7 linked regions of the Oryzias latipes genome follow. The protein of the gene in region 1 purifies or fractionates together with the protein of each later gene. This does not show direct contact. Links are inferred from orthologs where the notes say so. Each region holds a gene or a part of one and is shown in the gene's direction. Other genes may lie near its edges. The genes, in order: nup133, seh1l, nup85, ahctf1, nup37, sec13 and nup160.

Region 1 (2,644 bases):
TAAAGTTTATTTAACGATCATTCATTCGTCTTTTCATCCTTTCTTTCATCTTTTTGTCTTTTATTCTTTCTCTGTAAATGCTTTCTTTCTTTTTTCTTTCTTTGCATCCTTTTTTTTCCATCCTTCCTTCCTGGTAGCTCCACCCTCAGCATCCTTTCCCAGCATCCTCCCTGTTTCTCCTCTCAAACGTCTCCATCTGCTTCCCTGCGCTGATCTCCAGACTATAATCTGTTCCTCTGATGGATCCATTCATGTCCCATTCCTGGTTCCAAAGAGAACCTCAGCATCTTCTGCTCTGCTTCCTGTCCTAAAATAAACAACCAAGAGAAATGACATGATGCTTGGCTCCATTAAAGACATGGCTTAAAGTCCATTCAGAACATCTAGCAGCGGTCCAGCCGGTTCTTGAGGCCCACTTGAATCCACATTTGCTGTGGTTCTTCTGTCTGATCAGAGATCGTGGAGCAGGAGCGCTTCCTGCTCCACCAGGAGACTCTGCCCCGGCAGCTGCTGGAGGAGAAGCAGCAGAACCCGGACACCATGCCTCTGCTCAACGCTCACAGCCTCATCCAGGTGAACACACACACACGGACGCAGCTTGCATTGAAAGGCGGGGCTTCTTCTCACCTGTCGAACGCTTCCTTGGTCTCCCCTGCAGCTGTACATCTGCGACGACAACAGACGAGCCAACGAGTACGACTTCAAGAAGGCTCTGGACCTGCTGCAGTACATGGAAGAGGTCACGTCGGCTTTGATTTAAACTCTTTTTTTATTGCCGTTCTAACGTGGACTCATGAGGATTTGCTGTGTTGCAGGAGGACGCCGTGGACATCGAGGCGTTAAAATGTGAAATCTTTGGCAAAGCTCTCAAGAGGGACGAGTGAGTTCATGTTTTTTTAGAAGTAACTTACAGGAGCGTCGCCGGAAACACTGGCTGTTACCGTTTAGTCACACTTGTCTGTTTCCAGCTGGTCGACTGCAGACGGAAACGATGATCCTCTGGAAGCTGCTAAAGACAGCATCTTCGTCAAGATCCTCCTCAAACTCATGCAGGAAGGTGAGAAAAGCTCATCGGGTCAACACAAAAACAGGAGTATCAATGTCAGCTTGAGATGAACGAAAGGATCCTAAAGCTTTTTGGCTCTGAACTAATAAGGGAAAAAATCCTAATCAGGTTTGATTAGGATGGTTTCAAATCTTAAGGTTTAATATCTAAAATACATAAGAGGACAAAATTTTTGGCACCACTCAGTTAATGAAAGCAAAACTCACAATGGTCACAGAAAAAACTTGAATCTGACAAAAGTGATAATAAACAGAAATTCTATGAAATTTAACCAATGAAGGTCAGAGATTCCTTTTTAACCAGCGGAATTATATACATATAAAACTAAATCATGAAACAGGCCTGGACAAAAAGGATGATACCCCTAGAAGAGACTGAAAATGATGTGAAGGGAACTGTTGAGTCCACTCATTAGCCTCATGGGCGTCTACAGTCTTGTCATCAGTCAGTGGCCTTATATAAAGGGCTACATTAGGGTGGCGTGGCGTGCACCACACTCAACGTGGGAAAGGCCGTCTCAGGACATAAACAAGAAAATCACAGACCAGCATGTGAAAGCAAAAGGCTACATCATTTTCAAGCAGCCTTATGTTCCTGTGACTACAGTTGAAGCTATTATTCAGAAATGTAAGATCCATGGGACTGCAGCCAACTCCCTGGTCAGGGCCAATAGAAGAAAAGTGATGACAAACCAAAGAGAAGGATGATATAAACTGTAACAAAAGAGAGATTAAAGGTGAACCTCAAGCTCCAGGAACATCATCACACCGTCCGTCACGGCTTCAGACAAAGTCCCAGCGCGTCTCTGTGGAGGTTTATGAAGTTCTGTCAAACTAACCTTTCGTTGTTTTTTTCTCAGGTGTTTCTCTGCAGACGTACCTGCCTGACGTCAAGGAGCTGCTGGATCTGGACGAGCTGAGCAGTTTGAAGACCAAACCGTACTTTGAGTTTGTCCTTCGAGCCAATTATGAACATTACCTGCAGGCTCAGATGTGACGGCAGCACAGCTTTGACTTTTCTCTCCCCTGTTTTGAAATGCTCTTTTCTAAATAAACGCGTTTGTATTCCTGCACCTACAGTGACGTTTGTTCTGTTTTCCATAAGTCGCACTTCCTAAAACTCCTCTATTCAATTCCCAGGAAGTCAAAAGTGAAACCTTAAAGCCTTTTTTATCTCTGGACTCTGAAGATCTCCAGACGCTTCGCTGCATCATTCAGGGCTTTCTGCCGTCGGCTGACGTGGAGCAGATCTCGTCTATAAATAAGTCGACTCTGGTGCTCTAGCTGAGATCCTCTGCTGGAAAAGCTGCAGATGATTGAAACTACGGAAAGCAGGTTGGATTAATCATCAATCCTGACAAATGTAATCTGCCTAAGAAGCCTTAATCTAGAAAAAAACAGCTCTGTGCTTCATGCAAGCTGACAAAAATGACAGGAGGAGAGTTTATAATAAAAACTTGAAGTGGTGTTCCTGTTCTTGTTTTCCTCTATTGTTTATATTTAATGAGAAACACTGACATCTTTTTTTGGAGTGATATCATGTATGATCAGTGTATATAATGCAGACTTTTATCATGAA
Region 2 (4,191 bases), on another chromosome or scaffold:
ATAGTTGCTGCAGTTCTGCATGTCACCCTTGTTCTTAAAGATCGGGACCAGAACGCTTCTCCTCCATTCCTCAGGCATCTTCTCACTCTCTAGAATCCTATTGAACAACCTTGTTAGAAATTCCACTGCTGTCTCTCCTAGGCACTTCCATACCTCCACAGGTACGTCATCAGGACCAACGGCCTTTCCGCTCTTCATCCTTTTCAGAGCCTTCCTAACCTCATCCTTTCCAATCTCTGCTACTTCCTGCTCCACAACAACCACATCTTCCTCCCTTCTTTCCCTGTCATTTTCCTCGTTCATCAGCTCCTCAAAATACTCCTTCCATCTTTTCTGTACACTCTCTTGGGTTGTTAGCACCTTTCCATCTCTGTCCTTAATCACCCTTATCTGTTGCACGTCCTTCCCATCTCTGTCTCTCTGTCTGGCTAGCCTGTACAAGTCCTTCTCTCCTTCCTTTGTGTCTAACCTGTCATATAGCTCATCGTAAGATTTCTGTTTGGCCTTTGCCACCTCTCTCTTCACTCTACGCTGCGCTTCCTTGTACTCCTGTCTACCTTCCTCAGTCCTTTCTACATCCCACTTCCTTTTAGCCAACCTCTTCCTCTGGACGCATTCCTGTACTTCCTCATTCCACCACCAAGTCTCTTTACCGTCTTTCCTCTTTCCAGATGACACACCTAGCACCTTCCTACCTGTTTCCCTGATAATCTCTGCTGTAGTTTCCCAGTCCTCTGGAAGCTCATCCTGACCACCCAGGACCTGCCTCAACTTCTGCCTAAATTCCTCACAAGTTCCTAAATTCCTTTAAGACGTTTTGTTCCTGAAAGTATTTGGAGGAAAGCCTGGAGTGTGACCCACAAACTTATGATAAGTAATAAAATGAAAGAAGTTTCTCTTAAAATAATTCACAGAATTTACCCCACCAATCAATTCATGATAAGATACATTAAAACAATTGATCCTAATTGTCCTTATTGCAAAGAAACAATTAACCGCTTTTTTGGAATTTTACTGAGATTAGAAGTTTACAATTTATTGAAAAACAAATCCACCCCAACTTTACTCTGAAGTATGAATATATCATATTTGGTTTTCATAATAAAAACTTGGCCTCTAATAAAAAACTCATAATTAATCTTATTATTATTTTTGGCAAATTTTATATTCATAAACGTAAATTTCCTTCATCTTCTATTTTTTCCCCTTGTTAATCAAACAAATTGAAATGTATATCAGTAACATCTCCAAAAGTCTTAATCAGAAAGCTGTATGTTTATATGAAAGTTGTAGAAACCTGAATGTTTTTATGTAAAATGCATGTAATATGAATGCTCCCCTGGCATACCTGAAGTTTATTTTGTAAAATTGTGTTTTGTATTGTACTTCCGTTTTGTACAATAAAGTTAAACAAAAAAAGCAGGTCTCAAAGCTGGATGATTTCTGCGGTAGGCCTGCTAACGCGCTGGTGAAGCTATCGCTGGCGGCGCGCTGCTACCGGGATCATGTTTGTGGCTCGTAGTATCGCGGCGGATCACAAAGATCTAATTCACGATGTGTCGTACGACTTTCACGGCCGGAGAATGGCGACTTGCTCCAGTGACCAGAGTGTGAAGGTAAGCTAACGTTAGCCTCTGAGCTCGCGCCCGCGGTCCTCGACTGTGATGAACCGTTCCCGGGCTGCCGCGCGGCCATGTGTCACATTCAGAGCTCTGTTTGTTTTTCTGAGGTTTGGGACAAAAGCGAGAGTGGAGAGTGGCTCTGCACAGCCAGCTGGAAGGTAAAACGCCTCCATCCTCACGCCGAACTCCACCTTCTGTGCTGAACAGATGTGAGCCTCCTCCTCCTGGTTTCTCTCTGCAGACACACAGCGGCTCAGTGTGGAGAGTGACCTGGGCTCATCCAGAGTTCGGGCAGGTTTTGGCCTCCTGCTCCTTTGACCGAACCGCTGCGGTTTGGGAGGAGATTGTAGGAGAATCCAACGACAAGCAGAGAGGCTTGAGCCACTGGGTCAGTGCTGGGTTGGGAGCGGGCAGTTGCAGCGACAACCTGCAGCAGGTGGAGGTCATGTGAGTGTTTCTTGCTTCTCCATTCCAGATTAAGAGGACCACACTTGTGGACAGTAGGACATCAGTGACCGATGTGAAGTTTGCTCCTAAACACATGGGTCTGATGCTGACCACCTGCTCTGCGGACGGCGTGGTGAGGATCTACGAAGCTCCGGATGTGATGAACCTGAGCCAGTGGTCGCTGCAACACGAGATCTCATGCAAGCTCAGCTGCAGCTGCATTTCATGGAACCCCTCCAGGTTATATAGCTTTTTCATATTCTGGATGAGCTGACCAGACCATAAGTTTGATGGAGGTTCAGTTCTGCTCCATGTGTCTGTGAAGCTGGGCACAGAGTGTCATTCTAAGTTTCCACATGGCATTACACACAAACGAAGAGCACGTCTGCGCCACTGCCTGATGACAGGTCGGAGTGAAGGCAGGAGCGGCGGATTTCTGCTGAATCATCTCATCTCATCATTCTCTCCCAGCTCACGGGCTCACCCTTCCATGTTTGCCGTGGGCAGTGATGACAGCAACATCGCGAGCGGTGGGAAGGTTCAGATCTATGAGTACAACGAAAACACACGGTGAGCGTGTTCAGCACACAGCGGCCAGAGATGCAGCGGCCTCCTGACACTTCCTGTTTCTTCTAAAGGAAATACGGCAAAGTGGAGACTCTGATGACTGTCACCGACGCAGTCCACGACATCGCGTTCGCTCCCAACCTGGGGAGATCTTTCCATGTTCTCGCTATTGCAACAAAAGATGTCAGAATATTCAAGCTTGCCCCCATGAGGTGATTGTCATCATCATGTGTTCTGGTGCATTTCTCGAAGCACACAGCTTTTGAAATAAAAGGAGGAAGAAAATGAACAGAAAATGTGTCTTGGTTCTCTGGAACAGGAAGGAGAGCTCATCCACCGGACCCAGCAAGTTTGAGGTGCAGATTGTTGCGCAGTTCGACAATCACAACTCCCAGGTGTGGCGTGTGAGCTGGAACATCACAAGCACCCTGCTGGCTTCCTCTGGGGACGATGGCTGCGTGCGGTTATGGAAGGGTAAGAAGCTGGTCCACCTTCAGCAGGAACACAGACGGCTGCCGTCTGTCGGCAATCGTCTGCAGTGCAGCGACCGTTTTCTTATTTTCCTGAGATGGGTACATGATTAATAGAAACATGGCCTCCTCTGGAGGTTCAGTGTTGGACCTCTAATGCTGCGCTCACAAATTTGCGTTGGCCGCTTCAACTGGAACAAATGTCGGATTCGCTGCTGGCTACCTGTCCAAAAATAGGTTCATAATTGTGACGCATGTGGGAGGAGCTAATGTTTATTTGCCTCATGCGTCTTCTACATGAAAGCATTGACTGTATTTGTCGTTTACAATACATGGACGACACAGAAGTTGAGAGATCAAGTCAGTTTATTTTGAAGAGCTCTACTCTCGCTACCTGATGTGTCAACGCATGTGCGCAAAATACATAAAAGCATTTTACGGTCAGAGTATGTCTTTAAATATTAAATGATGATAAGCTCTTAAATGTTTCACAAAATGTACTGCATGTTAACATTTATTTTAATGTTAATGGGGGTAAAACATGGTAGGAAAAAGAAATGTACAGTAAACCCTTGTTTTTCGCGGGGGTTACGTTCCAAAAAGAACCCGTGATAGGCAAAATCTGTGAAGTAGAAACCTTTAATTTTTTTACAATTATTATATAATTAAATAGTCTATTATACATTGAAAAGAAATAACAAACCATTTTACAGGCTCAAGCATTTGTTTCACAAATAAAAGTACTTTAGAAACGTTTTTTTTTCAACAAATAACTTCTGTACTGTACTGTCAAATAATAATTTTAATCATCGATGTGAACAGAAGGCTTCAAATTGCGGAGATTAGCCCCACCCCCATGACCCAAGTAATTGGATTAAACGGGAGAAAATTTTAAAATGATTATGAATAAAATACAAAGTACAGTCGGACAAATAGTGACTCAGGTGTATTTCACTGCTCTGCAGACTGAGCCGCTGCATCCTGACTCCGCTCTGCAGTGTTTTCTTCTTTTGAAGCCCGCGGTGCAGCTGTGTTTGTTTGGGGGAAAGAACATAGTGATAGGAAGATGTTGTTTCTCTTTTTTC
Region 3 (3,136 bases), on another chromosome or scaffold:
AGAACAAGAAACCTCAGTAAGTCTCCTGATGAGAGACCGCTCAGCTTACACAAATAATTAGTTTTTATTGACATTTTCTTTTTAATTTTTTGATCAGTGGGATGACATAAAGATTGAAAAAGAAAACAGGCAAAACATCAACATGTAACTATTTCATGTCAAACAGTGTTAAAGTAAAAAAAAAAAACAATTCCTGTTTTGCTCTATAGGTTTGTCAGCATCAGTAAAAACTATAGATCTGTTATTCGAGCCTGTATGGAGGAGCTGCAGCAAGTTGCAGGTTAGCTTCTTTAAACTGAATCATGAAGTGTATCTTCGAATCCTACAGTGTAGTTTTTTATAATGGCATGTACTTTTTTGTTTGCAGTTTCCACAAAAAACGCAGAGATGTCCGTACAGTATGGAAACCAGGCACGTGTTTTTATTCTTTAGTTTCATCTTTTCCTTTTTAGAAATTGTGATTAGTTTAATTTTTTAACTTATTAACGTATAATAGTTTTTTTCCTCTTCTTTTTAATCTTTTTACTATTCGTAATATTTTTTTGTTTCCTCGGATGTGGATTTTAGTGGTCTGTAATAAATACAATTCAAATAATTTTGTGTATAATTTGTTCTTAGGAATTAAAAAATGTGTATTTTTTTTAATGATTTTTAAATCAACCAAGCAGACGTCGACTAGTTTTGATGTTATTTCAAACTGCATTTGTGAGATCTTATTATACTAGAAATGTCTTCTGTATGATCTTGAAACAAACTCTTATTCATGTCGGAGCTTGTTTATTTTGGATTTTTGCTTGTCGGTACAAATATAAATCATTACTGATCTTTTTTGTGGGTAAAGCTGTCATTGTGCCATTATAATATGTTTTAAATGACATATTTTTGTTGCATTTTAAATAGTCAGAGCTCATCTGTATTTTAACCCTTGACTCATCAGTAACATTTCTCTTAAATATTATTTAGTTCCTAATCCAGTCTGTTTTGTTGCAGGTCTCCATTCTTTTAGCTATAGAACTGATCTGGAATCTGTGTGAAGTCCTTTTCATCGATGCTGCTCCTGGTTAGAATCTCAGTTTTTAGTTAACAACAAAATATCTTTTATTATAACTAAACAAAGGCAAGGCTCCATAAAAACCCATTCATGATTGATGTGTGTTTTGCATGCTTTCAGCCGGCTCGCTCCTGCTTCACCTCCTGGACTGGGTGAGGCTGCACAAGGCTGACGTAGACGAAAAGGCTCGAGACGTGCTGCAGAGTGACAGCCCTGCTGAGCATCGAGACTACTGGGATGTGGTTAGTGCGGGACATGCACACACACGATCCGCCTCCACTGGAGATCTCTGAGAGTTTCGTTGTGCTGTGCAGGTGGTGAGTTATGTGCTGCAGGGCAGGTTGGACGAAGCCAGACAGATGCTGGGGAAAAAGGCCACCCTAACGCCTGCTGCAAACAACATCTACAAGATGATGGATAACTTACTCAGCAAGATGCCTTTTTACAATGTAAGTACAATGGGAGTTATCTGGTTTTAGTCTGTGGGTTAAGAATGACTTATGGTCATTTACCTGCCATAAAGGTTAAATCTAAGTTGTGGCCTCCTTAAGAGGAGTTTGCACGACGACTCCTGCATCAGTTTCTTTCTCTGTTTTGGCTGAGGGACTGGTGACCTGCCTTTAAATGTGTTCAAACACATAACGAACCAAACAATTTCAAAATGTCCATTTTCATCCTCACATGTATGTCTTCAGCCTGGTGGCACACAGACACTGACAGAGTTTGACGTTAAGTGGAGGCACTGGCATGAAGAGGTAGACCGCTGCTTGCAGGACAACTCTTTTGCTAGCAACCAACATCTGGAGGTCATCTGCAAGGTCAGTCCATCCGTTACTACTTTTTATGCTATCGTGTATTTTCAAAATGCTAACATTGTTGGTACTAATGTAGGCTTTTCCTAAAAATACGCCCGTTTCTGTTAACAGTTTTAATCACTTCAATTCTTGCTAAATCCCAATGGGCTGATATGATGCATGCTCAAATTATGAAGCTATCGCCGCCATGCTTCACTGTAGGCAATTTCTGGGATATTAAATGTGTGTTTTAATTTCTAATCTGGCACCAAAATACATTTTAGTCATTTAGCAGCACCAGATTAATAAATTGGTGCAAATGTTTCAACTATATGATATAAAATGTTTCAATAATTTCTGTTCTTTATTTTTTAGATCCTCCTGGGTGATGAAGACACTTTACTGGAGCACAAAGACCTCCTGGGAACCTGGTATCACTTCCTTGTCTCAAGACTGCTGTTCTGTCATCCCACTGTAAAGCCCACTGAGTTGCACTACTATGCACAGGTGAACTATTCTACAAAACTTGCACTCATGTCTGCTGCATCCAGATATTAAGTGTACCTGTGTGTTTTGCAGTCGTGTATGACCATGTTTCTGGACTCAAGGAGCGCACCAGAACCTCTGGACAGCATCTTGCTGGCTGCCTTTGAGTTTGACATCCATCAAGTTATTAAGGACTGCAGGTGCAACAATGGGACTGATGCATGCAAGTACACTTATTTTAAATCTACTTTAAACATTCAATTTCTTCCTTTTGCCTCAGCATCGCTCTCAACAACTGGTGGTTTGTGGCTCATCTGACAGACCTGCTGGATCACTGCAAACTCCTCCAGTCTCACAATCTACAGTAAGAACCCTGTGTGCAGATTTAGTTTTTTAGTCTGGAGGTTAGGACTTCTTTTATTCAGTGTTTTTCTGTGTTTTTGCAGCTTTGGTTCCAATTTAAGAGAATTCCTCCTGTTGGAATATGCCTCTGGCCTCTTCACTCATCACAGGTTGGTTTGTTTTTTAAGTCCTCCTTTTAATTATTTGAATTTTTCTGTGAAGGTTTTCCCTTAAAGGATGTCTTTTTGTTTGTCTGTTGATCAGTCTGTGGCAGTTGGCTGTGGATTACTTCGATCACTGCCTCGAGTTTGGTCGTGTCTACCTTGAGCTCCAGATTGAGCGCGTTCCCTTAGACACGGAGCGGAAAGCACTGAAGGTCCTCCGCATTTGTGAACAGAGGCAGATGTCGGAGCAAGGTTCTAAAAGACTCTTTATTCTGTAATCACCTTGGTTCCAGAAATAC
Region 4 (3,953 bases), on another chromosome or scaffold:
TGGGGAGAGTGTTCTTTACTTGGTAAATAAACCTTTTAGCATGAGAGCATTCAGTGGGCGTCCCCTCCAAAATTTTCACCTAAGACAATTTCCCAGACAAGTTGTGGCTCGTCAGTCTGCATGATAGCAAATTCCAATCTTGCTTTTACAGTTTAATTTCGTCATACTTTTCTTCCATGAGGACCGCTTTGGCTCAAACAGCGACAAAGGGTGCAATCTGACTGACCAGAACATTAGATTTCATTTTTTATGTCTTTAGGGGTTCTTTCTGGACTCTTTTGCTCCAATTTACATTTGTAACTTTAATTTGTCAAAAATTATTTTGTTTTTGAAAAGGAAATTGTCTAAATTGTCTTTTTTAAAGGAAATTGTCTATAATCGTGTTGGTTATCAGCTTTTAAAAAATATGGACTTGTGGTCACATGAACACCAAGCTGTATGGAGATTGTCTGGTTGCATTTATCTTTAAAATGTTTGTCTATTTCATTTCTAGCCCCCAAAACAACTTTTTTTTTTAAATTTTCTTATTTATGTTCAGTGTGGTGCCTATTATTATTTTATTATGATCACATAATGAAATAGTGAGAGTCTTTAAGGCAGACTGGCTAATTAGAGGTTTAAAGTAGCCAGTGGTGTCAGTTAGATTTCAAACTGTAAGGTCCCTATTTGGTGAAAATGTTTTAGTCTTTTTAGTCTTTTCTTCTATATATATATATATATATATATATATATATATATATATATATATATATATATATATATATATATATATATATATATATATATATATATATATATAGAAAATATATATATATATATATTTTCTTCTATATATATATATATATATATATATATATATAGTCACATGTGTGTGTGTGTATATATATATATATATTCTATTGTAGAACAATTTTGTCCAGTAATCAGTGCTGATTATATTATATTAAATATGACACTAACATATTCCGATATTTTAAGTGCATTTTTGAAACACAATAAATGGCAGAATTGAATTTATAAAACGGTCTTAAATGTGCTTTTACAATGCACTATTTCGTCGACTTGGACTAGTTGTCTTTTGTCACGGAAAAACACAAGAGAGCACTATGTGTTTTACCAGAAGGGGGCGATAAAACACTTTTTCTCTGTAGCCTTTTTGTCGGAGAAGAAGAAAACTCGAAATGGCGCTTTGCTTTATGGAAGTCAGAAAAGCATTGGGTGTTTGCTAACCAGCTAGAACTATTTGCGGCGTGTTTTATACGGTTAGTGCTAGATAGGAGGTCGGATTATGACAGACAACGAAAAGAATCTACACGGATTCCAGAAAAAACAGACGAACTGCGGCTATAAGGCCTGCATTCTCCCCAAAGGTAACGTAGAGCGCCTTGCGGCTTAAACTAAACCATCACGTTTTCCAGACTAACAAACTAACTTGAGTTACTTAGTATTACTATGATGACTCAGTGAACTCGCTTAACTAATCCATGTATGTTTTGCAGCAAAAGGGTGATGTACGTTTGAGCTGTTAGTTGTAGTTCGAAAGATTACGATAATAGAAGGATTTAAGTTTCATGTCTTGTTTTAGAAACAGATTCATTCACATAATTAGAACGTTAACACTAGATAAATTTGGCTGTCAGTCGCCAAAAACTAATCAGATTTTGAATTCACACTTTCAGCTAACATGTTACTCAACTAGTTAGCTATTTGCGTTTGCTCATATCGGTTCAGTCAAGCCAGGCTAGTTTATCACCAAACCGACTCAACGCGTGACTCAGATATAATTCAAAAACCCAGCACGATTTGATTGTTGTTAGTTTATTTTAATGCTTATTTAATAATTTTTTTAATCTATTTTTGAACGGTATCTGCTATGTTAACTTAAATGCTAGCTCACGAATAAGAGTCCTGCTTGACCTTGCATGCTAACAAATAAGCTCACAAATGTTGCTCGCGGTTATTGATACACACATTTGACCATTTAAATATTTACTTTATTAGGTTAGAAGCACGTTTTAAACATGTTGAGGTAGTCGGTGTGTAACAAAACACTTTAAACCCTGCAAACAGTAGATTGTTTACGTCTTGTGATCTTAGCTTTAGCATTAGCGGTGTAGTACCAGAAGCTAATGCGTAGTTTCCTAGCAAACGGAACAATTTAAAAATTAACCAGGGTTTAGAATCTAAACGTTATAGCTTTTCTTGTCTTTTTTCCACATAAATGTTCGGTCGTGTTTTTTGAGGCAAAGCTTTTTTCGGCTTTTTACGGCGTAGAAAAAAATGTGATTTCAGTCGTTAGCATTTGTAGGTGATTTGTATGTAATTTTAGCAGACACGTGTTCTACTGTGAAAGCTTTCGTGTGTTTGAGAAATCGCGGTCAATTTGAGCTCATTTACTGTTTAGTGTTCTTGATATTTCTACTGTCCGCACGTCTTTCTCGCGTGGCGGTCGATGACAGACCTGTTGCGCGGGAGTTAACTTGAATTCGTTGTGTTTTTCTTTAATGGTCACAGGGGGCAGCATTCCGTCCTAACAACACTGACTGTCCACCCCCTGACCCCGCCACGTGGTTTTTCTATACTTCACGTGTTAAGATGAAAGGATCTAATCTAAACACATAAGTAGATAACATTAACATGCGCACTTTTTATTTATATTGGTAACAAGTAAATGAAAGTAACTATAAAACGATACACCCTCAATAATTAAACTGTATTTCACTTTTTTATTTTAAGGGAGAGATAGCTGGAGTAAAGTCTGCTTTGTGTAATTTTCTGACTTATTTAAGTTTTTTCTTCTTCTACAGTCTTCTGTAAGAGCTAGCTGTCAGAGAGCTCACATGCACAGACAGATGTTTATGGGTGGGTTTGTTAGAAATCAAGCTCGAGTTTCAGCCCCAGTTGTCATCTTTTAGTGTGATCCCTGACAACTGACTGTACTGCTCTTGTCTGAAAGACAGGCTTCTTTTAAACTCCATAAATGAGGGCACAAAAAATCCTGTAAGAGTTTCTGTCACTTTTCTTCTTTTATTTGCTAAAATAGTGTAAACATGGTTACAAAATTTGAACAGTACTGACAAATAAATGTATCCTTGTTTTTTTCCTTGTTTGTTTTTTTGTTTACCTAGTGAACAATGCATGATCTTATTGCTCAAGTCACCAGTAGCTTGCTGCCCTTCTCTGGAGTGACTATAGAAGCCCTTGGGGAGGATGAGATCACTTTGGACTCAGTTCTGCAGGCCAGGTTCACTGTTGGTAAGCATTTGCTTCAGTGTTTTCTTTGTTATTGTTTGTTTCCCTTTTTCTTGTGAGAATGGGTACTTGCACGTGTCACATCTTTCACCAAATGAAAAATAGGTTACTAGAAATATTGCAGTTAATACTGTTTATTATCTTGTGAATATTTCATTGTTTCTGTCTGATTTTTCTTTCAATATTTCATATTTATTTTGACTTGTCAAGTGTGTAAATCATATGTTATTCACACAAAATTTGCAAACCAATATGAATACAACTTTTAAGCATAGCAAGGTATATAATTAGGGGGAAAAAGACCTTTTAACTTCTACAGGCCCTTTTCTCCACATATATTCTTCTTCTTCTTGACTCTTTTCTCTGTGTGTGAATGTTAAGGCCGCATTGGATTGGCTTGGCTTGCCTGTGGTCCCCATCTGGAGGTTGTCCATGCAGTAACGGGGGAGCGGTTGTCTGCGTATTGCTTTAGCACTGGAGGAGAGCACCCACCCAGAATTCTTTCTGCCAGGGACTTTAGCTGGCTTAAACGGTTTGTGCTTGGTTAGAATTTTTTGTTTTCCATCCATCTGCTTTCAATTTTTTAAATTGGAGTCAATAATGACAAATAAAAATAGTTTTCAACATTCATGTTTTTTATGTCTTTATTTGGAAAATTAATTTGATATTTTATTCTGAAAAAAAGAAAGAAAATGTTAACA
Region 5 (4,282 bases), on another chromosome or scaffold:
CAAATATGTTTTCTATGCAACTGTAATTGTCACTTTAAAAAGTTATAATAAACAAATAAATGAGTTATTTAACATTGAGGAGTAGGTACATTTGTTTTTCATTACATTTAGTTACATTTATCATTTATATCTGGCCCATTGAAGACAACCACTATGCCGATGTGGCCCTCGGTGAAAATGAGTTTGACACCCCTGGCCTAGGTGTTCACCCTAGCAATATACTGATGACCTTTGTAAGAAGGGACAAAGTTACCACCAACTTCTGAGGAGACGGAGGTGGTTTGAACTCTGCTCAGGACTTTTTCTGACTCTGTGCTTGCCTCTGCTCCCCTCTATGCCGTTTTTCTGCTGGGAAACGAGCAGCACCGGTACTGAATAGGCTGGTCAGGAGGACCAGGTCGGACTCGGTGGGTGAGAGGAGGATGTCAATCAACCTCACATCCATCCAGGACAACAGCTCTCACCCACTGCAGCTGACTGTGAAGGGACTGGGAGGTTCCTTCAGCAAAATATTCAGACACCCCTAGTGTAGGCATGAATGTTACCGCAGGTCATTTATTTCATCAAACTGACCAACTCCTCTGTGTAACTAGGTCATAAAAACGGTTTATTTATGTATCTATTTATTTACTTGCTTGGTGATTTGTTTTTCTCCAGAGAGGCCATGACAGGTAAATTTCTCCTCTGTGAGATTAATAAAGTGGAACAGCATTTATACATTTAACAGGAAAGAGCACAGACTACTACCTTTTTGTTAACGTCGGCCATGGCCAGCTGAAGAACCATCAGCATGCTGTCAGCTCCATGAACCGTGGTCCTTTCAGACTGTGAAACTCTGTGGCGTTCCCTCCTGAAGGTTTTCACCATCAGGTTAAGTCTTTCTCCTAAAGCTTCCATTTTATCCTTAAGTAAGAGGTTACAGAAGACACAATAAATACATCTATCTTTGCATCAAACACGTTATTATTTAGAGCAAAAAATGCACAAGAAAATGGTCAACTCAAATGATTTTTGCACTGAAGAACAGTAACCTTGTTCAAAGTACCCCCCCCCCCCAAAGGTTTTGTATTCTCAGCTTATTTAAATCCTCTATAAATATGTATCTGTATAAATATATATGCGTATAAGGTTCAGGTATAAAAAGTCACAATAATAAAAATAAAATAAAATATTACCTATTTAAATAAATATTCAAACCTGTTGTGGTGTTTCAATGTTTCTGCCGAACTAGGCGCACACCGTAGAGCAGCTGTTTTGAAATTTTAAATGACGATGACGTTTAACACCTTCTAGCCAATCAGATTTCAGCAAACTGCATCGGACGCTTCCAACAATAAAAAATAAATCAGAATCAAATGTTCAAACCAGATTGATTATATTTATGTTTAGGAACATATTTGTCGATTTATATTTTTGTTCCAAGTTTTCTAATGTTGTCTATAATTTGATTCGTTTATCTTTTCGTCTTTCAGTCTCCCCTTGGTTTTTTCCAACTACTGGTACGTTCCGTGTCGTATGCGGAAATAAATGGTAAACACTTCAAGCGCGGGCAACTAGGAAACGCACGCGCCGGTAATATATGTATTCTTAGAAGAAATAAGCAGAAAATTATTATTTATGAAAACTAGTCTGTGCCTAGTCGGTTTAAAACAAAACAGCGCCATTCTTTTTCGTATTAGCTTCTAGCATCGTGGTCGCTTTCTCTTTCTGCTCCTGCGAATAAATAAATCGTTTTCTCTTTTTTTTAAACTCGTAAATTTATCATCACGGGAAAAGAAAATATTGTTCTCTTTGAACATTTAAAATGTACTATTTTAATCCTGTTAAAGTTTCTGGTTTTGACGATACACTATTTGTATTCTATTAATCTTGCCTGCTCATCACATTCATTTTTAGCTTAGGCTAAACAATACCAGAATTGTGAGTGTAGCTTGTTAAAAATGCCCTAAAAGAGGCAAACTTACTGCATATTTGCTAAAGAGCAACAAGCCAATATTTTAACTTGACGTGTTAGTCCTCCAGTCTGGTATAGATTCTGATTCTTGTTTAGATTCATCTTAAACCTCTGTATTATAAAATAAAAACACTAATACAACCTATTAAAGTATAGTATATATGTACTGTTTTTAGTTAAAGTAGTTTGGTGCAACAAAAAAAAGTTGTTAGAGGCAATAGAACTGCATTACTTTTATTAACCAATCAATATATTGAGGGATATATTCTGCACTAATCTGGTCAATTTACCCATCTGTATATAAAAAAAACTTTTTTGATCCAAAGCTTATTGTTACTTTTTTTTTATTGGAAACATCTTTTTTACTTCTGATTTTGGTAAATTAGAGTACCAAAAAAAGATATGAAGTAAAATAAATAAATAAGAGTGCTGGGAGTTTTCATATAAACCATCTCTTATGTTAACATGTGGAAAGAGTAAAGATCAGTAAACTGAGCAAGAGGAGCTCCGGAGATGTATAAAGAAAAAATGTTAAAGTTGTTACTTTTTTCATGCTTGTATCTCTTTTTGTTTTGTAAAAATGAACAAAAATAGGAATCTGTTTCCTTTCTTTCTGTTGTGTGACAGGGATAAACATGCAGGAGGAATCTGTTCGCAGTCCCTCCTATACGGTGCCGTGTGACGATTATGTCCATGTGGTAGAATTCAGTCCTTTCAGCTCAGGGACCTCGGCCTCCCTCCTGGCCTATGGTGGGAACCAGTTTGTGGTGGTGGCCACCTGCCTTTTCCAGGTTTCTGACACAGATTGACACAGCACAGTTTGGAGGTTTTTTTTTTTTGTTGTCACCTTAATGACACCAAATGTGGCCCTGCAGGAGGAGGACATGGAGGTGGAAGGAGTCGAGTTTAACGTCCTGCGAGCTTTTCATCATGATTTGCGTGTGGATGCTCTGGCTTGGAGCCCCGAATCCCGGCTGGATAGAATACCCACTCTCAGGTATCACCGTTTGATAAGATAAAGGGGGATCATTTAATGTATCCATACTACAGAATAAATGTGCAGGAGAACAGTCAAAGGAGATCAATAGGTTTGTTTTCAAAATCTACAGTTGAGGTTGAAACTTGGAAGTTAAAGCAAAAGCCTTTATGTTGTCTTTGATTTTGTAGAATAAAATCTTTATGCGGCTGACGGTTAGACGACCTTGCTGGGAACTTAAAACTCTTTCTTTTGTTGCGTATCTTTCTTTCTTTCTTTCTTTTTTATTGTTTGTTAAAGTCAAAGAATGTCAAAGAAAATAGCTTTAGGTGATGGAACGTATTTGAATTTGCTAATTTGTCACTCATTTATATTGGTTTTCATACTATATTTCCATAAACCTTTTCAAAATTGCTTAAGAATAATCTTAATGGATGCTACGAAATGCATCATTATTGCAAGCCCGGAGCCTAAGACAATGATTTTATTCGGGACATGGGGCAGTAAAGGTTTGTGACAACAGCTGGTAGGTACTACTCTGTAGATGCTGTCCTGTGTTAATGCAGTGAGTGGAGATGATGGAGGGCAGCACATGCTGCTCCACCACCAAGAGAAATCCGAATAATACAGGCTTCTAGTCGTTAAAAGACTGGGAATATTTGTGTTTAAGTGTTTGTGGTGTTTAAAAAGTTGCCATAAAGTATCCAAGTTAGCAAAACCTGTTTAAGCTAGCCATTTTATCATCATTTATTTTGTTTTTGTGTGTTTTGTCCACCCTCCTTGCTGTAGATTCATCAGAAGAAAAAAAATTTTTTTTAGGAGCAAACTGAAATATTTAGAAAAATTCTGAACCATCCAAACTAAGGATTGTCCTCTTTATCTGAACACGTTGGCCCTCAACGATTCTTATAGAAAGACTGACTGTATATATGAGATCTGGACTGAGTGAACCCTCCCCGTTTGGGTTCCAAACAGGAAGTACCTGCTGGCTCCAAGAAGCCAAAATCCCATAGACTATTAATCAGTCATTCTATTTTCCAGAATAACCATTCTTGCACTGATGCCTTTTTTAAACTGACCAATAAGAAGTCTAAAAAAAAGTGGGTGGTGCCACATGCAACTCTTGAAACCTTTGACAGATTTTGTGTAGCCTACTTCTAAGTGCTAGGGGTGTGGCCTTCTAACAACTGATTGGTGAGAGGGATTACCATGGAAATGTTGACTCAGACCAACTCTAACCAATCACTGCTTACCCATGACATCTGGCTCCAACATGGCGGCGTCTGGATTGTGGAAAAAATACCAACTGAGTTGACTTGATTTGATTTGATTTGAGCTGGAAGTAAGTCATT
Region 6 (4,293 bases), on another chromosome or scaffold:
ATACATAAACATGTTTGTTTGACGGGACATATTGTAGATGCTGTCATTTTTTAAGTTGAATTGTGACTTTGGTGCATAGATTTAGGCCATGATTAGTCTAACGTTTTATTCTAAAAATACTGTAGAAGTTGTCAACTTTTGGAGATGCCGCCTCTTGTTTTCATATTCTTTATTGAAGCTTCAGTTGTGATTTGATTTTAATAATTGAAATAGTTTGGATTCAAAAGCGTGACATAAACAAATCTTTACAAAGAAATCAACTAAAACAGTTTTAAAGGTTTCGTTCTGTACACAAACACCTGAGTTTAGGATTCGCTTCTTGTTGTACTTCTAAAGTTTGTGTTCAAGTTTCATGATGTGTGTGTAATGAAACTTTTACTTTCACTTCTTTGTCATTTGAATTTTGCACTTTTTAAATGTTAGTAAACTAAATACATCTGCATTTTCAGCAAAATGTAAAAAAAGAACCTTTTAATAACTGTCTTTTCTCCTCTGAGTCTCTGATCAGATTTTAAATTAAAATGTTCATTACTTTAACATTCACTGCTTTATATTCATTACTCAGAGTGTCTTAAACAAACGTTTTGACAAAAGAAATATCTACAATCGAATGACGAGTCAGAGTAAAAAGGGTCTCACTGTCAGAGCTGATGAGCAGCTGATGAGCAGCTGTCTCTTACTTTACCTGAAGTCTTTGTCAGTGGAGGTCATTTTCTCCAACAGGTTGGAGATGTGGTAGGACACGTTAGACATGATGGTTCTTTAACAGCTGACACGGACGCCGATAAATGCTAAATCTGTAGGAAAGCAATGGAACTGGGGAACCAGATTCACCCTGACAACATGGCGAGGCTGGTGGGCAGAAAGCGGAGCTAACCTTAAACCTGACACCCCCAGGGTCAGCTAAAAATACAGCACACTTATTCTGGTTTATGTCTCCCTCGTGTGGACAAACCGAGCATTACAGCCGAGTTCGTTTTGAAATCCTAAACCATGGACTGTAAAGAGAAGTTTTACAGTCTCTGTTTGCCATGAATTTGTTTGAATAACATACAAGGTTGTTTTGTAAATAGATTGTTTTCTGATTTATAACTTTATTTTTTAATTGGCTTTCATGTGTGTGAGTATTGTCCCAAATAAATTTAGATTGTTTAATGTGAAAATATACCTTTTGTTATTTTACAGGAAGATGTTTTGACTCTTCTTTCGTTGCATCAACTTTTTTTTTTTTTTTTTTTTTTTTTTTTTCCTCTTTCGGCTTTTCCCATCAGGGGTCGCCACAGCGAACAAGTCGCATGGTAAACTTGGCAATGTTTTACGCCGGATGCCCTTCCTGACGCAACCTTCTCAAAGCAACCGGGCTTGGGACCGGCACAGATAGACAGAGAGACAGATAGACAGAGAAGGGAACAGGGAGCAGCCCTGTCGTTGCATCAACAGGCTTTGTAAATGTAATTTTGCGTTGTTGTCGTGTAGGCGGAACTTACGTTTCGATTGCGTCACTTCCGCCGGAAGCAAGTCTCGGGCTCTGGAAGCGGTCTGCGGTACTTGTTGCCACGTCGGAGTAGTTTGTAAACCCGGTCGATTCATTGCTAAGCGACCAGAAAACTGTTGAAGGGTTTTTGGGTTAAACAGCAGCGATGGTTGGTTAAAATACTTTATAAAAATGGTTTTAGCATTTCTTAAAAACATCTTTAAAGTTTACGTTTGCCTGCTAAGACTCACAGTTAGCTAGCTCCCGTTAGCCGAAATACTAGCTGACGCGTTAGCACTGCAGATAAAAACAATGATGGTTATTTTTTTTATGAACAGGTCAAATAAAATTCTGCTGTTTCTAATCTATAGGTCTCCGTTATTAACACCGTGGACACCTCCCACGAGGACATGATTGTAAGTGTTTGACCTCCCACTATGCTATCCGTGGATGGATAATTACATTGAATTTGTTTAATATTGTTTCACACGTTTATCCGTTCTTACAATTAAACTTTTACTGTGGTTTGATTACTCTATTTTGGGGCTGTATCGTTATCGTTTGGAACTAATCATTAATATTGATTTATAATTACATTTATCCTTAGGTTTGTTTGTGGGGGAAACGTGTTTTTTCTGTCTGTCTTGTTGTTTTCTTGAAGTTCATCTTGTTCTTTGTGCTTTAATCTCTTTAGAAGAAATGACCCACTTTTATCAGAAAGGCTGGATTTTATTGTGATACTTGTTCCTGAATGATACCCTTAATGATTTTAGAGGGAAACGTTTGCCTAACACATGATCATAGAGACGGGCTTCATTTTAAACGAACATACAAGAAAGACAAACATGTTATCAACCTATCAGAGGTCACAGTGTTCTAAAAGTACGAACACATAACTTTTTGTTGACGAGTCCAGGGACATGCTGTAAAGGTTCATGTGTGTTGTTGTGTGTCTCTGTGATGCACGGGTGAAGTGTCCTGGGTGAACCCTGATGGGATAGGCTCCAGCAACCCTGTAATCCTGAGCGGGATGGATGAATTCCCTTCAACATCAAAATGTTTCATTCTTGATAGCATTGAGGCAGTTGTCTGTTGCATAAAAGCATCTAAATCAACCTCCAGCCCCTGATTTCACTGATGTGAGGATCCTCAATTAAAAATGATTTGTTCTAGTATTAAAAGCGCTGTGCTGTATACACTTAAACACTAGACACGCCTGGCAGTTGCATCCCATCTGCATTCATGCATCTGTAAATCTTCAGGTGAGTTGGATGGGAAGTGATGGCGTGTCTAAATACTCACACGTGTTGAAAAGTTCTCTTCATGTCTTTATTCTGGTTTTAGGAGTTAAATTCTCAGAAATCTTCCCTTTATCCAAATGTAACGACCTGCCTTTCTGCAGTGTTTCTTTCTACCTACTAGTACTAAAGACCTTTGACCTTCACACGCCGATGATGTCACCCTTTCAGCTGGAAGACCACCGCTCTCTAGGTGGTTTTTAAACAGCCTCTTCCTGATCCAGAGGTGCTGTAGATTCAAACGGCTGACATGAAAGGTTTAGATCCAGGAGTTCTGGATTTGTGCCTTCATTTAGTGCCAGTATAATGATTGACATAACCAGCATACGTGTTTCCCTTTCAATCTCAAAATGTCCATTTGAAACATCAGACACATAGAAATGGTTTCACTGGCTGTGAACACATACATGTTTCTGTGTTTCAGCATGACGCTCAGATGGATTATTACGGGACGCGACTCGCCACATGCTCCTCTGACCGCACTGTCAAGATCTTTGATGTCAGGAACGGAGGACAGATTCTAGTGGCAGACCTCCGAGGGTGAGTCATCCTCAGAAAAGTCTTAGTTATCCTCTGTTAAATGCAGTAAAGAACAGCAGGTGGGTGTTCTCCAAGAAGAATAACTTCTAGTTTAATGTTCTTTATGCTGGTATAATACACGCTGACAAATATCGTGAAACACAAACGGCTTTCATCGTGAAAAGTTCATTTCTACTCTGAACTCGCGTGTGAGAGATTTTGTGTTCTTCGTTCAGCCATGAAGGGCCCGTCTGGCAGGTGGCGTGGGCCCACCCCATGTTTGGGAACATCCTGGCCTCCTGCTCCTACGACCGGAAGGTCATCGTCTGGAAGGAGGAGAACGGAGCTTGGGACAAGATGTACGAGTACACGGGACACGAGTCCTCAGGTCAGTAAGGGAATGTTTCCCCTCATCCAGTGTTAGAACTCCAGCTCATTCCATTACAGCTACTCTGTAGGTGTTTATGGTAAATGCCATTTCTTATCCTATTCTCAGTGTTTGTAATTCCACACCAGAGTTAGATTGTGTTTGTTATCATTTTTACTGGTTGTTGTTTGTGTTGCTGTGGAACTTCAGCCGATCCGAAAGCAGGAGAGACGTTCTCCGTGCTTTTGACAGCGGAGACGCCGCCGGCGGCTCGTGCTCTTTGACGAAGCGTAAATCCTCGTCTGTTTCTGCGATCAGCAGGAATCAGCTGAACTGATCGCTTAAGGCCGCTATGCAACACTTCCTGCTTTTGTCTGCGACAGAATCGGCTGACCTCCGCTGATTATGCTGAAGAGCTAGTGGGTAGAATGTAAAAGAAGACCTTTGAAGAGTCACTGTGACCACGGTAAACGGCCGCGTCTTTGTGTTCATGGCGCTGCTGCTGTCGTGTTTGCAGTCAACTCTGTCTGCTGGGGTCCCTATGAGTTCGGCCTCATCCTGGCCTGCGGCAGCTCCGATGGAGCCATTTCCCTCCTCACCCTAACTGGAGATCAGCAGTGGGACGTGAAAAAGAT
Region 7 (3,927 bases), on another chromosome or scaffold:
CACATGGCCTTCTAGCCACTAGCCTGTACAACACATGGTCCTGGCTGCTGACGGCCTGGTCCTGTGGCTGGGTGCTGATGGCTTCGTTTTGGAACTGGCTGATGCTCAATCTAAATGGTAAATGGTAAATTGCGTATACTTATATAGCGCCTTTCTTCCTACAAGGACAAAGCGCTTTACAGTCACAGACCCATACCCCCAGTCACACACACATTCACACACTGGTGGCGGCTCCGCTGCCAAACACAGGCGCCCGCAGAGTTGATGCTTGAATTATTCTAACAATGTTGCAACCTTGTGCGGGAACCGCAGGTGCAGAAACAGAACTCACATTTACAGTGAATCTTTCTCTCTCTGCCACTCTCTCTCTCTCTTTCTCACTGGTCACACACACACACACACACACAGCAGGCCCAGGCAGGTGGAGGACAGAGTGTAGGTACATAAAACATCAATTTCCACACTTCTATTAGCCCTGGGTTTAGTGGACCCAAACATCTTGTATGTAATAGAAATGTGTTGGGGGGGGGGGGGGGGGGTATACGGTGTGTGGTCATTAAAAATGTATTCTGATATATGTTCTTCACAGAAAATGAGCCAAGGCCAGTGAGTCTGAGTTTGAAAAGTTTATTAATTGTATCATTTTTCTTTTGATAAAAAATGAAAACGGGTCCCACAGACCCGAACACCACATGAGGGTTAACCCTTGTTCTATCTTAGATGACCCCCCCCTTACATTGACGTGTTCTCCCTACCATGACAAAGGTGGATAAAGGTGGAAAGATTTCATGTAATCCATGGACACCAGTGAAGATCACAAATCATTGAAGAAAAAAGGTTCAGAGCTCTGTCTAGTGGGTCTAGATGACCCCACTCCCAATGTTAAAGTGCCTAGGATAGCACAAGGGTTACACAACAACCTATTTGATGCAGTTTCAATTTGAAAATGAAAAATCACTTCTGTTCTTGACTTTTATTCTTGACTTTTATTTTTAATTATGCTACACAAATGCTTCCATAGTTTTCGACCCCAACGGAGGTAATAAATGTAATGAAGGAGTTCTTCGTGTAACCGAGCGGGGCGCCGGAGCCTCAGTGACCAGAAGAGAAGAAGAAGAAGAAAGAGGCGGCGGCAGTTTGAAGTCTGTGCGCGCGCGCCGTAGCCCGAAGACAAGATGGCGGCCCTGGACCGCAGCTACATCGAGATCTGCGGGTTCGAGCGAAGCGGCGCGTGCCGTTTCCGAGAGGTGACCGTGACTCAGACAGGTGAGCCTAGCTGACATCACAAACCGGATCGTATGCCAACCGGCTTTACCGGACCCGAACTTGAGCGTGTGACCCGCGCGAACTGTTCGGGCCTAGCCTCATCACACACGCCTGGAGTGTACTGCCGCGTGCGCGCGGCGCCGCCGCTGCTGCTCAGATCCCAAAAAACCGTCAGTGGGTCAGAGCAGACCCGCTGAAAATGCTTCAGTCAGAACCACCGTCTGTTTCTTTGAGAAGGCGAAGCTGGAGGAGAGTTGTTGCGTTTATGTTAACTTTCTTTCTGGCTCGGCCGTGTTCCGGTTTACCAACCTGCACCGGAGAGATGGATCATGGGAGAAGAAGAGTTTCTGACTGTTGTTTGTCAAGGTCTTCATGAGCTAAGATGTCTGAGGAATGGAGACGTGTTAGGATTCAGACGTTCAGAGGTATAAAACTGAATGAAGTTTCTGAGAAAGTAGAGGAAGCTAGGTTGAGGTTAGAGGTGAACAGATTTGTGAAGAGTTTGGTTTCATGCAGAGAAGCACAGATGCTTTCTTTGCTTTGAGGATGTTTCTGGAGAAGAACAGGGAAGATCAGAAGGAGCAGCATCGTGTCTTTGTAGATCCAGAGAAAGTCTATGACAGGATGATCCAGAGACAGCAGCTGTGGTTTGCAGTGACAGTGAAGAAGGTTGGAGTTGTTCAGGACATGGATGAGAGCTGGAAGACACAGGTGAGATGTTCTGGAGGTGATGAGTGAAAGGAAGATGTTAGGCTTGCACAATAAATCGTAAATTATTGTGATCGCAGTATCAAGCTGTGAAATATGCATATCGCAAGCGGCGGCGAAAATTGCAATAAATGGTGACCTTAAATGTGCCAAAACAATCTTATGGCAGCTTGAAGTATTTAACCAATCAAATAAATCCATTTATGCATTTGACCAATCAGATGGAGCCCTTTAATGTTAGATGTTCATCTCATATGTGGACGAAGGTCATTTGGAGTATAATTTAAGTTATGTCGCCTCTTATTTAAACTGTCGCAGTGAAACGGAATTGATGTTTTATGGTTGTTATATCGTCATCAGGATATTGATCATTAAAATCACATGTCGCAAGTTTTCCTCATCGTGCAGCCCTAGAAGATGTTAAAGATAACATGGAGATGGTGGCTCTGAGCTGGAGCTACCAGGAAAGAGGTCTACAGGAAAACCAAATGGATGCAAAGGAGAGTTGGAATACAGCCGATTACTCAAATAGAGAAGAGAAATCTGTAAAAGCTTTAACCGTCTTCATTCTGGGGGTGGGTCCACTCTGTCTAAGCTTAAGAATTAGTAGAAAAGGAAGCAACAGGCTGAAGGTTTCTATGATAAAATACCTGCTGTGATTAGAGAAGGTGACTTATTATGGAACCAGTAGCTTTATGATTCCTGTTTATGTCTCATGCAATCATTCATTCAGTAATAAGAGTGTAAAGATTCATTTTAACAATGATTTGATTCATATCTTAATTTGTGGTTCTGAATACGATTCAGAGTCAATTTTGGTTCATCTTGATCGATCAGATTCTCTGACTTAATGGTGACTCAGACAGAAATTCCTGCTACTGAACAGTGAAGTTTTCCAGATTCTTGGATTTCTTCCAGATCATCAAGTATAAATGAAATCTGTGTCCAAACAAACAAGTAAACCAGGATGAATGTCAAATCCATTCACATGTTAGTTTCCTAAAGTTCAGTCCACTGTTGTTTTTCCACACCAGTGGTGAACTGTTGTGGAACTGGTGAACCCTTGCACTGACTTGCTTGGCATTTGCACAGAAATCAAACTTAACTGTATTAATTTGATTTTATATACTTTACCTTTTCAAAAGGCTGCTGTTTTCTTTTTTATAAATGCTGGCTGCGTTTTATTGCACTCTGTTTAGTTCCCAGTCACGCACGTTCCATTTTTTTTTGTTTTTTGTTCGAATCCTCAAAATAAAAATGACATCAAAAATTGGATTTCTTTATTAAATTTCTTTAATTTAATCAAAGCAATGAAACATAATTCATTGATATTGTAATGAAGTTAAACTTGCACAGCAGAGCAGTCACATGACGCGTCGTTCTCTGCTGACTGCACTGCAGGGTAAATAAACATTTAATCGTTAATAATGCTCATTATGTATTTGTAGCAACTTAGTCATTTTGATAGTAGGCTAATATAGCTAATATACATACATATTGCATGTGTTGCCTTCATTATAAGGCTTAAATAGGGCTTTTAATATTTTGCGGCTCCAGACACATTTGTTTTTTGTTTTTTTCGTCCAATTTGGCTCTTTCAACATGTTGGATTGCCGACCCCTGGTCTAGGTCAATTCAATTAACAGCTTGCCTCAGACAGAACGATCTAATTGGATCGTAGTAATAGAAATCGATTCATCTATTATTTGTTACAGTAACCTAAAACTTCCCGTCTCTCTTTCTGTTTTCAAATTGCTTTAGTGCAGGGGTGTCCAAACTTTAAAGCTGTATCCAAACTTTTCGCAAAGAGGCCCAGATTTATTGAGTGGAAATCTATGTGGGCCAACCAATTGGTTTGCAACCTTTAAACCTTTTATAATAAAATTAAATGCAAATAAACTATTTAATGAAAATGTTATTGCAATGGGATACTTTTCATTTCCTCACAGAACA

The links.
Region 2: the proteins of nup133 (region 1) and seh1l purify together in Homo sapiens (affinity purification with mass spectrometry; 4 studies listed by BioGRID and IntAct, with this or other methods). This does not show direct contact. The link is inferred for Oryzias latipes from reciprocal best matches to the Homo sapiens genes NUP133 and SEH1L.
Region 3: the proteins of nup133 (region 1) and nup85 purify together in Homo sapiens (affinity purification with mass spectrometry; 5 studies listed by BioGRID and IntAct, with this or other methods). This does not show direct contact. The link is inferred for Oryzias latipes from reciprocal best matches to the Homo sapiens genes NUP133 and NUP85.
Region 4: the proteins of nup133 (region 1) and ahctf1 purify together in Homo sapiens (affinity purification with western blotting; 3 studies listed by BioGRID, with this or other methods). This does not show direct contact. The link is inferred for Oryzias latipes from reciprocal best matches to the Homo sapiens genes NUP133 and AHCTF1.
Region 5: the proteins of nup133 (region 1) and nup37 purify together in Homo sapiens (affinity purification with mass spectrometry; 4 studies listed by BioGRID and IntAct, with this or other methods). This does not show direct contact. The link is inferred for Oryzias latipes from reciprocal best matches to the Homo sapiens genes NUP133 and NUP37.
Region 6: the proteins of nup133 (region 1) and sec13 purify together in Homo sapiens (affinity purification with mass spectrometry; 4 studies listed by BioGRID and IntAct, counting the BioPlex papers as one, with this or other methods). This does not show direct contact. The link is inferred for Oryzias latipes from reciprocal best matches to the Homo sapiens genes NUP133 and SEC13.
Region 7: the proteins of nup133 (region 1) and nup160 purify together in Homo sapiens (co-immunoprecipitation; 4 studies listed by BioGRID and IntAct, with this or other methods). This does not show direct contact. The link is inferred for Oryzias latipes from reciprocal best matches to the Homo sapiens genes NUP133 and NUP160.

What each region holds. Positions count from the first base shown.
Region 1 is NC_019859.2:2,082,579-2,085,222, reverse strand, and holds the end of nup133 (nuclear pore complex protein Nup133), read left to right. Parts: exon of another isoform or gene 1-307; intron 308-454; coding exon 455-573; intron 574-627; exon of another isoform or gene 628-658; coding exon 659-739; exon of another isoform or gene 740-779; intron 780-815; coding exon 816-880; intron 881-968; coding exon 969-1,057; intron 1,058-1,925; coding exon 1,926-2,062; 3' UTR 2,063-2,144; downstream 2,145-2,644. UniProt on the Homo sapiens protein: Involved in poly(A)+ RNA transport. Involved in nephrogenesis.
Region 2 is NC_019874.2:7,224,059-7,228,249, forward strand, and holds the start of seh1l (nucleoporin SEH1), read left to right. Parts: upstream 1-1,391; 5' UTR 1,392-1,505; coding exon 1,506-1,616; intron 1,617-1,729; coding exon 1,730-1,780; intron 1,781-1,863; coding exon 1,864-2,010; intron 2,011-2,097; coding exon 2,098-2,309; intron 2,310-2,540; coding exon 2,541-2,639; intron 2,640-2,707; coding exon 2,708-2,848; intron 2,849-2,955; coding exon 2,956-3,110; intron 3,111-4,191. UniProt on the Homo sapiens protein: Component of the Nup107-160 subcomplex of the nuclear pore complex (NPC). The Nup107-160 subcomplex is required for the assembly of a functional NPC.
Region 3 is NC_019866.2:13,017,532-13,020,667, reverse strand, and holds part of nup85 (nuclear pore complex protein Nup85), read left to right. Parts: coding exon 1-16; intron 17-209; coding exon 210-280; intron 281-367; coding exon 368-411; intron 412-990; coding exon 991-1,060; intron 1,061-1,171; coding exon 1,172-1,293; intron 1,294-1,365; coding exon 1,366-1,500; intron 1,501-1,746; coding exon 1,747-1,869; intron 1,870-2,220; coding exon 2,221-2,352; intron 2,353-2,424; coding exon 2,425-2,531; intron 2,532-2,611; coding exon 2,612-2,695; intron 2,696-2,777; coding exon 2,778-2,843; intron 2,844-2,937; coding exon 2,938-3,089; intron 3,090-3,136. UniProt on the Homo sapiens protein: Essential component of the nuclear pore complex (NPC) that seems to be required for NPC assembly and maintenance. As part of the NPC Nup107-160 subcomplex plays a role in RNA export and in tethering NUP96/Nup98 and NUP153 to the nucleus.
Region 4 is NC_019861.2:24,934,082-24,938,034, forward strand, and holds the start of ahctf1 (protein ELYS), read left to right. Parts: upstream 1-1,153; 5' UTR 1,154-1,370; intron 1,371-3,128; 5' UTR 3,129-3,134; coding exon 3,135-3,255; intron 3,256-3,633; coding exon 3,634-3,784; intron 3,785-3,953. UniProt on the Homo sapiens protein: Required for the assembly of a functional nuclear pore complex (NPC) on the surface of chromosomes as nuclei form at the end of mitosis. May initiate NPC assembly by binding to chromatin and recruiting the Nup107-160 subcomplex of the NPC.
Region 5 is NC_019881.2:20,075,347-20,079,628, forward strand, and holds the start of nup37 (nucleoporin Nup37), read left to right. Parts: upstream 1-1,482; 5' UTR 1,483-1,572; intron 1,573-2,581; 5' UTR 2,582-2,589; coding exon 2,590-2,745; intron 2,746-2,829; coding exon 2,830-2,951; intron 2,952-4,282. Other genes in the region: parpbp (PCNA-interacting partner), read right to left, coding at 748-897. UniProt on the Homo sapiens protein: Component of the Nup107-160 subcomplex of the nuclear pore complex (NPC). The Nup107-160 subcomplex is required for the assembly of a functional NPC.
Region 6 is NC_019863.2:32,815,987-32,820,279, reverse strand, and holds the start of sec13 (protein SEC13 homolog), read left to right. Parts: upstream 1-1,493; 5' UTR 1,494-1,640; coding exon 1,641-1,643; intron 1,644-1,845; coding exon 1,846-1,890; intron 1,891-3,196; coding exon 3,197-3,312; intron 3,313-3,527; coding exon 3,528-3,679; intron 3,680-4,175; coding exon 4,176-4,293. Other genes in the region: cullin-associated NEDD8-dissociated protein 1-like, read right to left, coding at 686-753. UniProt on the Homo sapiens protein: Functions as a component of the nuclear pore complex (NPC) and the COPII coat. At the endoplasmic reticulum, SEC13 is involved in the biogenesis of COPII-coated vesicles.
Region 7 is NC_019864.2:4,323,576-4,327,502, forward strand, and holds the start of nup160 (nuclear pore complex protein Nup160), read left to right. Parts: upstream 1-1,127; 5' UTR 1,128-1,175; coding exon 1,176-1,266; intron 1,267-3,927. UniProt on the Homo sapiens protein: Functions as a component of the nuclear pore complex (NPC). Involved in poly(A)+ RNA transport.